2 linked regions of the Ovis aries genome follow. The protein of the gene in region 1 binds, or shares a complex with, the protein of each later gene. Links are inferred from orthologs where the notes say so. Each region holds a gene or a part of one and is shown on either strand. Other genes may lie near its edges.

Region 1 (5,548 bases):
AGTTTGGAGGCGGGGGCGGGCACGGTTCAGGCTGAAGAGTGAAATGAGTGAGGGGAGGACAGACGGCACTCACCGCTCCCAGGGTCCAACTCCAGGTGGGGGCACCGAAGACATACTCTGGGGAGAGTCGGGACCAGAAAGTGAGGTCTCTGGAACCCCCACCTGCCTCCTGCCCGCCGTTCCGCATCCCAGGGAGATGCCGGTCTTGGAAGTGCTCCTTTCCGGGCGGGACTCCCCAAACCCCACCCCTAAGTGAATTTCTTGCCTGTAGTGTTGGGATTTCCGTCGAAGTCGCCCACGGCCACCGAGTACCCTGAAGGCACAGTGAGAATTAGTCCTTCAGGGAGGGTGAAGCAGGGAAGGGGCCCGAGTGAGAACGGAGGGGACTCAGAGACCACCCAGTTCAAACTCTGCATTGCGGAGACGGGGAAATCGAGGCCACCGAGAGGTCAAGACCTGCCCGAGGCCGCGAAGCGAATTCAGCTCGAGAAGTCGACATGCTCGCCTTTGGGAGCTGGGCTGTCTGCAGAGGGTAGGGAGAGGGAGCTGCCTGAGCAGAGTGGGGGCGCCTTAGTGCTGGGGCTGGCCAGCCAGAGTTGACAATGGGGCGTTCCTACAGGGGTAGGACAGGGCTGGCGGTGACGCTTGAGTGCTGGGAAGCCTCGATGGGAAGTGCCACGTTACCCCGGTAGCCGTCGTAGTATTGTAAGTGACTGTGGTCGTAGGTGAACTGGGTGCGCACGTGCCACAAAAGGTTGCCTGGGCGGTAACTCGAGATGATATCGGCGATTGGAGCCCGCGCCAAGAGACCTAGGGCACGTGGGACAGTTAGTATGGGCGTCCAGGAGCCTGGAGTGTGCCCGGGTCGAGAGAAGGGAGGGAGGTGTACGGATGGGCACGTACCTACGAAATAGTAGCCGCCAGGAGCCCCAAGCACCAGCTCCCCAGCCTGAAATAGAAGCTCTGAAGGTGAGAGAGGGCCCTGTTTGGGGGGCAACCCCCACGCCGTTTATGCTCCCTACTCGCCTGAGTGACTACCGAGCTGAAGCCGGCTTCGCAGTAACGCCTGTCCTCTCCTAGAGAAGGCAAAAAGAAAGGGTCAGCGAAGAAGCCTGCTCTGACGAGTGGCGCCGGGCCGGGAGGCGGAGTCAAACGGGGGCGGGGCCACAGGGTAATACGGAGGCGTGGTCTACTATCAACATCCAGTGGGCAGGATATGGGGGTGGAGTCAGGAACTAGGCTATCTGGGAGACCCCAGACTGCAAGCAGGATTTGGGAATGATCGGGTGAAGGGCGGGGCTAGTGGATAACGGCCGCGAGTGGGCGGAGCCGAAACGGAGAGAGGAGCTCACTGAAATGATTTCTCTCGTAAAACTGGCTCATTTTGTTGGCCCGGCAGGGCGAGTACTCTGTGCGGTCGCCGTTTTGGAGCTGAGCCACGAAGCAGCCACCTACGGGGGTCTTCTGAGCCTCCTCCTCGTTCCTATCTAGGACGTTCCAGTGCTGCCAGGGGGCGCAGGCCTGAAGCAGAGCCAGAGGAGAGTGGGGAAGGGGCGGGACTCGGGTTCCTCCCTCCACGTGTCCCCGCCCTCCGTCTGCTCCCTGATCCCGGTCCGGTAGCGCCCACCACAATGCTGTCTCTCCAACTAACGACCGACGCCCCGAGTCCTTGCCCGGCCTTGAAGGTTTGGAAAGTTTGGGTGCCTATGCTTTGCGTTTCATCATCTGGAGGGCACAAGAAGAGAGTAGGGTGCTGAAGCCCGGCTGTCCGCGCTCCTTGTATCCCCTCCCTTTCTCTTCTTGTGCGAGACTCACAGAGGTTGAAGGGCAGCGAGATGCACTGGCCACCCTCGGCCTTCCAGGGGCACAGGAAAATGCCGCCGGTCTCCTCCTCGCTGCGGCCCAGGGTCCGTGGGGCGCCCACCACGATGGACACACTGCATAAGAAAGCTGGGTGAGAGCTCCGTGGATTCTGGGGTACCCCGTGCCCCAGTGCCTGTGCCGGGAGCACTCCTCGGAAGGGCGGTGTGCCTTGAGGGTCACTGGATCTTTTCCCAGTGAGACGACACAGACCACAGACGCCAATCTTTTCATTTTATGGCCACTGAAACTGACTCCCAGCGAGGAAAGTCACATACCCATCAGTAACCGAGGAAATTAAGGATGAAACAGAATATAACCATTAGGTTCGATTTGAACACGAGGGGTTTGACAGCCTTGCTAAAAGAGATCTCCTAAACTCTGTACACCGTCTACATTCCCCAACACTTGCCACGAAAAGCCAAGGGTTTACATGCACCGTGTTCCTGTCTAAACTGTCATCAGATCTCTTTCTGAGAACCAGTTTTAATCAGGAAATATTAAGCTAGTGGGCACCCGTAAAGTGGGTGGTGGGGTGCTGACATTTCTAAGGACTCTAGTAGATCTAGGTTCAAATGACAGCTCTACTGTATATAAAAGGTGGACAATACCAATCAATGCTGTCAGAAGTAAATGAAATAAACACATGAAAAACATTTATGCCAGTGCCAGCCAAATAATACATAACGAGGGCTCCAAAAATGCTGTAATTTGTTTTTCTTTTTAGTTTGCAGGATATTTACTAAGTAGTGCCCATGAGACCAGTATCTATGAAAAGGAGGAGAAAGAAGCAGGAGCAGGCAGGGGACATTGAGTTGAGATTCGGACTGAATAACAGCCATGGGTCAATGTCCTGGGAACTTTGGAGGGAGAAAGACCCTCAGAACTGTCTGGAGTTGAAAGAGTCAGACCGTTAACCTCTCCCCTCCCTCCACACTCCTCATTGACTGGTCATTGTTCCTGGGCCACATTTGGAAGTGGGGGAGCTTTGAGGGAGGTGGCCCTCTTCAGCAGAAGCAACTCCCCAAGGTGCTGACACTTAAAGTTCATCTGCTATTGTTATGCTCTGAAGCTGGACCTTGGTGTCCATCTCAATAAGGAACTAGCTCAGGGTTGTTGCTATAGAGAGAAAGAGCCAGGACTCTAATTTTAGCAGTCTGAATTTGCAGCCTGATGAATCCCAACCAATAATGCTCTATTGCTTCTTTTCAAATATCAATCGTTTTGCTGGGTTGAGGGGATTGGAATAGAAAGCAAAGTGGGAGTAGACAGACAATTTCACAGTTCTGCAGGTCAACTTAAGACATGTGCTCCTTTCTGTATTTCAAGGGGATGAGGGTGGAGTGGGTCATAAAACTGACCCTTGAGGAAAAAATAAGGCATCAACATCGGTCTCCCCTTTGTCTTTGCTCTGCTCAGCTCCCCACTGGTGCCTCTTGCTGACACCCTGGTATTCCTAACAAGAACTCAGCCCAAATAGACCCTGGAAATAAGTTTGCTCAACCTCTATCACAAATGGGGAACTCAAGACCCACAGAAGCAGTGATGGTGGGGGAGTTTCCCAGGGCTCACCTCCTATTGCTGTTCTTGTAGAAGTCCAGTGAAAACCCAAAGTGGCTGCCATTAGGGCCTGTGTAGATGGTGAGCTGCACTGAATCCAGGTTCAAGGCCCAGGTTGGAGGCACAGCACCAGGTCCCAAGAGCAGCTGCACCCACTCCAGAAGCCAGAGGGCACGAAGTAGACACAGAGCTCTGGCCATCTTCCTTCTCCCACAGCCTCCTAGGCAGTAATGGGTTAGCAGCTTCCCCTTTCAGTTCCACCGCAGGAAGTCTTTTCTTATCAAGCTGAAACCTACTTGCTGACTAGTAGGCAGAGTCCTGGGCCATATGGTTTCTAGGGTTGTTGGGAAGAGGGTAAGTCTACCCTGGGGGTGGATGCTTATGGCTGAAAGCCAATTCTTCCCTTTTCTTGAACGTATTTTATCAAGTCCTGCTGGTTCTGCTCTTCAACAATGTCTCTTGAATCTTCATTCCATTTCTTCTACCACCATGCTAGTCTAAACCACCACTGCTTCCTGCTTGGGATAGTGCAACACGCCTCCACTCTAGCCCAGTTCTACAGGTCCTCCTCCCCCCACACAGTTCCCTGCACTGCCAAGGCACACTGTGACTTGGTCAGAAGTGGGGGAAGGAGCGAGGAAGCTCCTGGCCCCTGATAAGACCTGAGGCTGCTGTATCCTTAAAAGAATAAGGCACTTATCCACTTCCTCCTTCTAGGACCTTTGGCAGCTTCAGTCAGTCATATTGGCACAACAGCTTCCTCGCTCATCCTCCATCTGGGGCCAAGTCTTAATGTGGCGCAGCAATGTAGCCAGTGCTGGGGGAGGGGTGGTGAATGGATCCTGGCTGAAGGGAGGAGATGGGGATAAAGTGGAGTCATCCCAGGGTGTTCTGGCTCACAGGCTTGGAGATTTGCACCAGCTGTTCAGTTGAAGGCAGGTCTAACTCCTTGGGTGACAGAGCTCTTGTCCAATCAGTAAGACTTGATTCTAGTGGGGTCATTGCCTAGGAGATGCCACTCTCAATTCCTCGGGCTGGCACTCTGGGGTTCACACACAGGGGTGCGGCACTGATCACACTGCTTTGTCATGGTCTGTTCACTGGATTTTGTTCACGGGTCCCTTGAGAATGAGGGTCCTTTCTGGTGCCCCAGGACCTAGCCAAGAGCCCATCATACCGTAGGCATTGCTGACAGACTGAATAATAGCAGGCACTGAGGACTGGAGGATGCAAATGCAGGCTCCCACAGAGGAAAGAAAAGGAATAGTTTTGAGCAGAAAGGGCATTTTTTAACGGATGTTCAGAGGAAGAGGAGTGCCAAGCAAGTCTTACTGGCACTGCATTGTCTTCCCAAAAAAGCAGGTTGTCAGGAAGGAAATTTAAGAGATCTGCTGGGGTAAAGAACATAGTCACATTGCTTTTGCTCATATTTTCTTTTTAAATATTTTATTTATTTGGCTACATTGGGTCTTAGTTGCATCATCTGGCATCTTTCCTTGTGGTGCACGGACTCTGCAGTTGCGGTGTGGGATCTTAAGTTTCCCAACCAGGGATCGAACCCAAGTTCTTTGCATTGCAAGGTGGATTCCACTGGACTACCAAGGCTGTTAAATTTTCTGATCAAACTTAACCATCATCTTATCCCGCCCAACTCCCCAGGGCCCTTCAGCACCACCTTTGTCCTCATAATTCACCTCCTTTGAGCACATAGCTCAAAATCCTATCCCTTTCTAGGTTAGAGGCACCTTGAACTTTAGTCTGGGCCTCCTTCACTGCTGAATTCCCAGTGCCAAGCTCACGGCAGGCACGTAATACTTAGTCCTGTACTTACCTTCCACCCTCCCTGTCCTCAACTGAGTGGAACTGTATTACTGGTGTACCCTGTGTAGCCCCAGATTAACTCACACTTCACCAAGGCTTTTAATAAATTCTCATTCTGTTCACGGAGAAGGCAATGGCACCCCACTCCAGTACTCTTGCCTGGAAAATCCCATGGACGGAGAAGCCTGGTAGGCTGCAGTCCCTGGGGTCGCTAAGAGTCGGGCACGACTGAGCGACTTCACTTTCACGCATTGGAGAAGGTAATGGCAACCCACTCCAGTGTTCTTGCCTGGATAATCCCAGGGAC
Region 2 (5,759 bases), about 2.1 Mb from region 1:
CAACAGAGCTCTCCTACTTTCCTCCTATATCTGCCTCCCAAGAATCTGATGATCCCTGGAACCCCGTCATAAACACTGGAGTGAAGAGGGTGTGAAATATAACCGAAACTGCTTTTGCTCTCAGCTCCGTTCAGTCGTGTCTGACTCTTTGCAACCCTTTGGACTGTAGCCTGCCAGGCTCCTCTGTCCATGGGATTTTTCAGGCAAGAACACTAGAGTGGGTTGCCATTTCCATCTCCAGGGGAATCTTCCCAATCCAGGGACCAAACCTGCATCTCCTTCGTCTCCTGCATTGCAGGTGTATTATTTACCCACTGAGACATGGAGGAAGCCACTATTACTGGGGGTTTATTACTTTGGAGGTCTTCTCTAGAATCCATGATCTTTTGTCCTTTGTTTTTTATTTTTATTTTTGTTGTTGTTGTTTTTGTGGGTTGTTTTTTGGACACACCTCGCAGCATGGGGAACTTCCCAACCAGCAAATTTTCCAGACCAGAAATCGAACCAGAACCCTTCGCAGTGGAAGGATGGAATCTTAACCCCTGGACTATCAGGGAAGTTGCTTAGAGCCCATCCTCTTTTTAAATTTATTTATTTGGCTGCACTGGGTCTCACTTGAGGCATGCAGGATCTTTAGTTATGGCAAGTGAACTCTTAATTGCAGCATGTGGGATCTAGTTCCCTGACCAGGGACCAAACCTGTGCCCCTTGCAATGGGAACCCAAAGTCAGCCACTGGACCACCAGGGAAGTCTCGAGCCCATACTCTTAAATACGACTCTACCCTGCCTCTCAATGGTTCTCTGGGGTTAGCTAGCTCAGCACAGCCCATCACCACTCTGGAATCACTCCAATCACAATGATGAACCTGTGAACAGATCCCCAAAAGAATAATTCATGTAAACTTAGGTATGTCAACACAGTAGAATCCTATACAGATCATTACAACTGTGTAAACCAGATCAACAAAAAGTATACTAGAAGTGAGGGGTGGAGAGAGAGACAGCAAAATAAAAAATGCACTCTTCATCTTCACCAGCTGAACCAAGTACCATGCTAGACTCTATCTCATATTATCTTACTTCTAAAACTGTAAAAATACATAATGATTAAATTCAGAAATCATTCAGAAATTCAGAAAACTGTAGATGTGAAAAGAAAGTAAAAAATGTTTTAAGTTCACGGAAGCAGGCATCGCTGCAGGAGAACACCTAGTTGCCTCCAGACTTCTCCATTCAGACAGCATCCAAACCAAGGCTCTAACTCTCCCTGGGTGGAATGCTGGAGATTCATAATTCTGGGCCATAGTCATCAGGCCACTCACTGCAGGCTAAAGACATCAGTTGACTTCTTTGAGCATCTACTACATGGGAAGCCTCTGCAGCAATAACTTAAACAGCCCCCTATGTATTATCTGTAACTCCTTCATCAAATTGTGGATTATAAATGGTGAGGATCTCATGAGTGTATACTTATCTCAAAATTCAAGTCATATACATTAAATATATACAGCTTTTAAAATGTGGATCCTACCTCAATAAAGTGTTTTTTTTTTTAAGATATTGTTGCCCTATCCTGGACAATCTGTTATGCATACAAGAGTCTTAAAGGAAGTCATCGAGTATTTCCTGATGGATTTAGCAATAAATCTTAATCTTCCGTAGGATCTAAATTGTCTTACCATGAAAATGTGAAATTGAAAGTCACTCAGTCCTGTCCGATTCTTTGCGACCTCATGGACTATACAGTCCATGGAATTCTCCAGGTCAGAATACTGGAGTGGGTAGCCTCTCCCTTCTCCAGGGGACCTTCCCAAACCAGGGATGGAAACCAGGTCTCCCACATTGCAGGCAGATTCTTTACCAGCTGAGCCACCAGGGAAGCCCAAGAAAATTGGAGTGGGTAGCCTGTCCCTTCTCCAGCGGATCTTCAAGACCCAGGAATCGAACTGGGGTGTCCCGCATTGCAGGCGGATTCTTTACCAACTGAGCCCTCAGGGAGTACTACTTACCACGAGTACTACTCTTTTCACTAAAAGTAGGTATACGCACGGACGCACTTGTGCGTCCTCTGCAGAGAAACGCCGCAGTGGACCAAGAGAGAGTTCTCCCTGGGGGGGTCACCCGGGTACCAGAAAGACCACGGGCAGCAACCTGGGCTGTGCCCCTCCCAGCACCAATGAGGCCGAATGCCAAGTGCCCTGGCAGCTGATAGTGCGTGTGCGGCAGCAAGAGAGACAAAGCCAGGGAGCCAAGCCAGCTCCGGGGACCCCTGGCGTGGTTGTTCGCACACAGTGGAGAGTGTTCGGATGCTGGGTTTGTCCCGGAAGCGGAGGCTACTGCCCCCACCCTGGGACACTGTAGGAGGTAGCGCTCTTGTCCTCCTCCGAATCGCTCCCGCGGGGAGCCTCCAAATAAAAACTAAACAAACAAAAACTTGGGATAAAGTGTACACAAAGAGAAAGAGAAATGTCGAGTAACTGGTAAGTCTGCGCGCACACGCTCTCATTTGAGAAGCGACAACCGCATCCCTCTGCAAACGCGGGGGAACAGCCCCGGGAAGCTCGCCCGGGCTCCGGAAGCCACCCTGCCTTCGCACGGCCGGGACCACCTGCGAGGCGCGCAGCCGGGACTGAACTCGGGGCTCAGAGATGCGCCCACCGCGCCGCTCACGTGGAGATGGCCCGGGACAGCCGCCTAACTCGGCTTAAGAGTTAGTTGGGTGTCCCGGTGGACCCGCCCGTAGGTTGTGGCTCGCCCCGGCCGCAGCGGAGCCCGGAAGGTCCCCAGCTCCGACGGCTCCAGCCTGGCCCCGCGCACACTGAGCGCAGAGGCGCAGGACCCACCCGACCGGCTTCCCCGCTCCGCGTCTGCTCTGTACACTCGGCCGCGGCAGGACGCGCGGCGCGGCTCACCCGAGACCTGGGTCCCCACCGCGCGGGAGCCCCACTCACCTCCGACGCCGACGCCCGCCAGCGCCCCCACCACCAGCACCGCGGCCCAGAGCCGCCGCGCTCGCATCTCGTCTGCCCGCCGCCGCGCTCCGTCTCGGCAGCGTCCTCCCGCCCCACAGCGAGCGGCGGCGCCCGCGGCCGCTTTTCCCGGGGCCGGAGGGGAGGGGACGCGGTGGGTGGGACGCAACGGGGCGGGCCGTGGACTGGCGCTCCCTCCCCTCCGGCCCTTCTGCGGACCCTCCACCGCAGGGTGGGAAGTGGGAAACCGCCGCTCCTCTCTGCCGCTGCGACTCAGCCCGCGAGGATCGCCTTGCGGGTATGCGAGGCAAGACTGGGACCCCAGGGAGGTCGAGGGCGCATCCTCCGAGGACATCCTGGCCCCAGGGTCCGCATCGGGCCCTTGGTATGCTCAGAAAAGCCAGGAGCCTGTGGTCTCTCTCTTCGGAGACACCCACACGGCTTTCTCTTTCCCTAGAGTTCCTCGGGCACCTGCCCTCTGTACCCTGACTTTTGGTCATTGATACGTTCATTCATTTAATTGCAAACCTGCTGAACGCCTACTCTGTGCCAGGCACCGGTTTAGTCTTTTATTATTCACTAATATTTATCTTGGGTTAGTTTGGTTTTCCAGTAAACAGTAAGCCTCTTGAAGACAAGACCGCATCTCAAGCTTGTGCAAGCACTTGATGTCCATAAAAGACCTTTCTCTGCAAATAGATGCTTGCACAGAGTAAGCACCTGATGAACATTTCAAGACAGTCTGCACTGCACTCAAATTCATAGGCTTTGGAGCTTTATCTTATTCTCTTCAAAGGCCTCCTGCCTCCCTGAATTCCTACTTATGGGTCTCTGGGTCCTCCACAAACTAGAAACGTCGGGAAGCTCAAAGGGGACATTGCTAGGACTATGAGCAGGAGGCCACCACAGATAGGGGCTGGTGCAGGCTGCCTCAATAGGAAACTCTAAGGATAATTAAAAACAAGGCCTGAGGACTTCTATGGGGGTCCAGTGGTTAGGAATCTGCTTGCTAATGCAGGGGCTTCCCTGGTGGTTCAACTGATATAGAATCTGCCTGCAAAGTGGGAGACCTGAGTTCAAACCCTGGGTCAGGAAGATCCCCTGGAGAAGGGAAATGCTACCCACTCCAGTATTCTGGCATGGAGAATTCCATGGACTGTATAGTCCCCATTCCATGGACTATACAGTCCATGGGGTCTCAAAGAGTCAGACACAACTGAGTGACTCACTTTCACTTGCCATTGCAGGGGACCTGGGTTCGTTCTCTGGTTCTCTGGTCCAGGAACCAAGTTCCCACATGCAGCTAAGCTGGCATCCGGCAATGACTGAGCCCTGGAGCCCTAGAGCATTGGTTCTGCAACAGGAGAAGCCACCAATGAGAAGCCCACACAATGCAACTAGAGAATAGCCCCCTCTTGCAAAAACTGCAACTTGGGATAGCCATACTCAGCAACAAAGAGTTGTGAGCCAGAGCAGCCCAAAATTTTAAAAAACGAAGAAAAGAAAAAAAGCCCTGAGGCATCAGGCAGGATTTGGAGTCTCTCCAGCTGTTGGGCTCCTCCAAAGCCTTCCAGGCTGTCTTTGGGCTTCCCTAAACCCTCTCCTGAAATGCACAAGATACCTGGAAACTGGCCCTGCCTCAGGTCTCTACCCTCATCTCCCATCCTAGCTCAAAAAGATATGTAACACTCCCAAACACTCCTCGCCTTTCTGTCTGACTGATCTTACTTCCTTTTTCCACCTGGAAAATTCCACTTAATCTTACAAAACATCTCAGATGTCACCTCTTCCATATAATCATGTCTGATTCCCCACCCCTCTTCCTTCTGCCCAGCCTCAGCAGAGATAGGCATTTCCTCCTCAGACCTCCCAAACACTAGGAAAAAGAAGAGCACACATCAGTAGAAGTGTCATTAGTAATTTGCAAGGAGGCAGGGGAGGAGCCACCCACAAAGGGTCGCTGGGCTTCCTGACCTGAGCTTCATACACTTTTCCTAAATGCTGGAAGGCCTCTAGGTCAGAAGCCACTTTAACAGTGTTGCCATTGCCCTGAATCAAAATCCAGATTACACAGGTTTCATCTCTGCCTAGATGTTTACCTATTTGGTTCATTCTCATGTATGTAACAATGGCACCCCACTCCAGTACTCTTGCCTGGAAAATCCCATGGATGGAGGAGCCTGGTAGACTGTAGTCCATGGGGTCGCGAAGAGTCAGACACAACTGAGCACTTCACTTTGACTTTTCACTTTCATGCATTGGAGAAGGAAATGGCAACCCACTCCAGTGTTCTTGCCTGGAGAATCCCAGGGACGGGGGAGCCTGGTGGGCTGCCGTATGTGGGGTCGCACAGAGTCGGACACGACTGAAGTGACTTAGCAGCAGCGGCAGCAGCAGCATGTATATAAACCATCTCCCATTCACCTAGGTGTCTCCCCAGCCTAACTCTGCTGGTACCAACCACTAGGGGTGGACACCAGTCCAGCAAATATGCTGTCCAAGTTTCCAATCCTTTCAGCCTGAAGAACTATCTTTAGCAGACTTTAAAGGCAACAAATATGCTCAGAGGTAAAGAACCTACCTGTAAACACAGGAGACTCAAGAGACCCAGTTTCGATCCCTGGGTCGGGAGGATCCCCGGAAGAAGAAAATGGCTACCACTCCAGTGTTCTTGCCAGAAATCCCATGGACAGAGGAGGCCTGGTGGGCTCCAGCACATGGGGTTGTGAAGAGTTGGACATGACTTTGTGACTAAAAAGTAAAATGCTCAACTTTTATTTGTTCCATTC

Evidence for each region.
Region 2: the proteins of ITGA2B (region 1) and ITGB3 are in contact, whole or in part, in a cryo-EM structure (PDB 8GCE), measured with the Homo sapiens proteins. The link is inferred for Ovis aries from reciprocal best matches to the Homo sapiens genes ITGA2B and ITGB3. Residues at the interface, in NP_000410.2 of Homo sapiens: Gln49, Phe52, Arg72, Trp141, His143, Asn145, Glu152, Ala153, Glu154, Lys155, Pro157, Arg184, Phe191, Tyr197, Glu199, Phe202, Pro217, Tyr221, Phe222, Phe262, Asp263, Tyr265, Tyr268, Thr290, Trp293, Thr294, Gln315, Met316, Ala317, Tyr319; in NP_000203.2 of Homo sapiens: Ser188, Pro189, Tyr190, Tyr192, Ile193, Ser194, Pro195, Pro196, Tyr204, Asp205, Met206, Arg242, Asp243, Pro245, Lys279, His281, Ile282, Ala283, Leu284, Asp285, Arg287, Leu288, Ala289, Gly290, Val292, Gln293, Pro294, Asn295, Asp314, Tyr315.

What each region holds. Positions count from the first base shown.
Region 1 is NC_056064.1:43,920,445-43,925,992, forward strand, and holds the start of ITGA2B (integrin alpha-IIb), read right to left. Parts: upstream 3,653-5,548; 5' UTR 3,621-3,652; coding exon 3,433-3,620; intron 1,938-3,432; coding exon 1,816-1,937; intron 1,726-1,815; coding exon 1,628-1,725; intron 1,522-1,627; coding exon 1,353-1,521; intron 1,077-1,352; coding exon 1,027-1,076; intron 950-1,026; coding exon 904-949; intron 811-903; coding exon 685-810; intron 314-684; coding exon 266-313; intron 118-265; coding exon 74-117; intron 1-73. UniProt on the Homo sapiens protein: Integrin alpha-IIb/beta-3 is a receptor for fibronectin, fibrinogen, plasminogen, prothrombin, thrombospondin and vitronectin. It recognizes the sequence R-G-D in a wide array of ligands.
Region 2 is NC_056064.1:46,050,046-46,055,804, reverse strand, and holds the start of ITGB3 (integrin beta-3), read right to left. Parts: upstream 3,444-5,759; 5' UTR 3,326-3,443; coding exon 2,953-3,325; intron 1-2,952. UniProt on the Homo sapiens protein: Integrin alpha-V/beta-3 (ITGAV:ITGB3) is a receptor for cytotactin, fibronectin, laminin, matrix metalloproteinase-2, osteopontin, osteomodulin, prothrombin, thrombospondin, vitronectin and von Willebrand factor.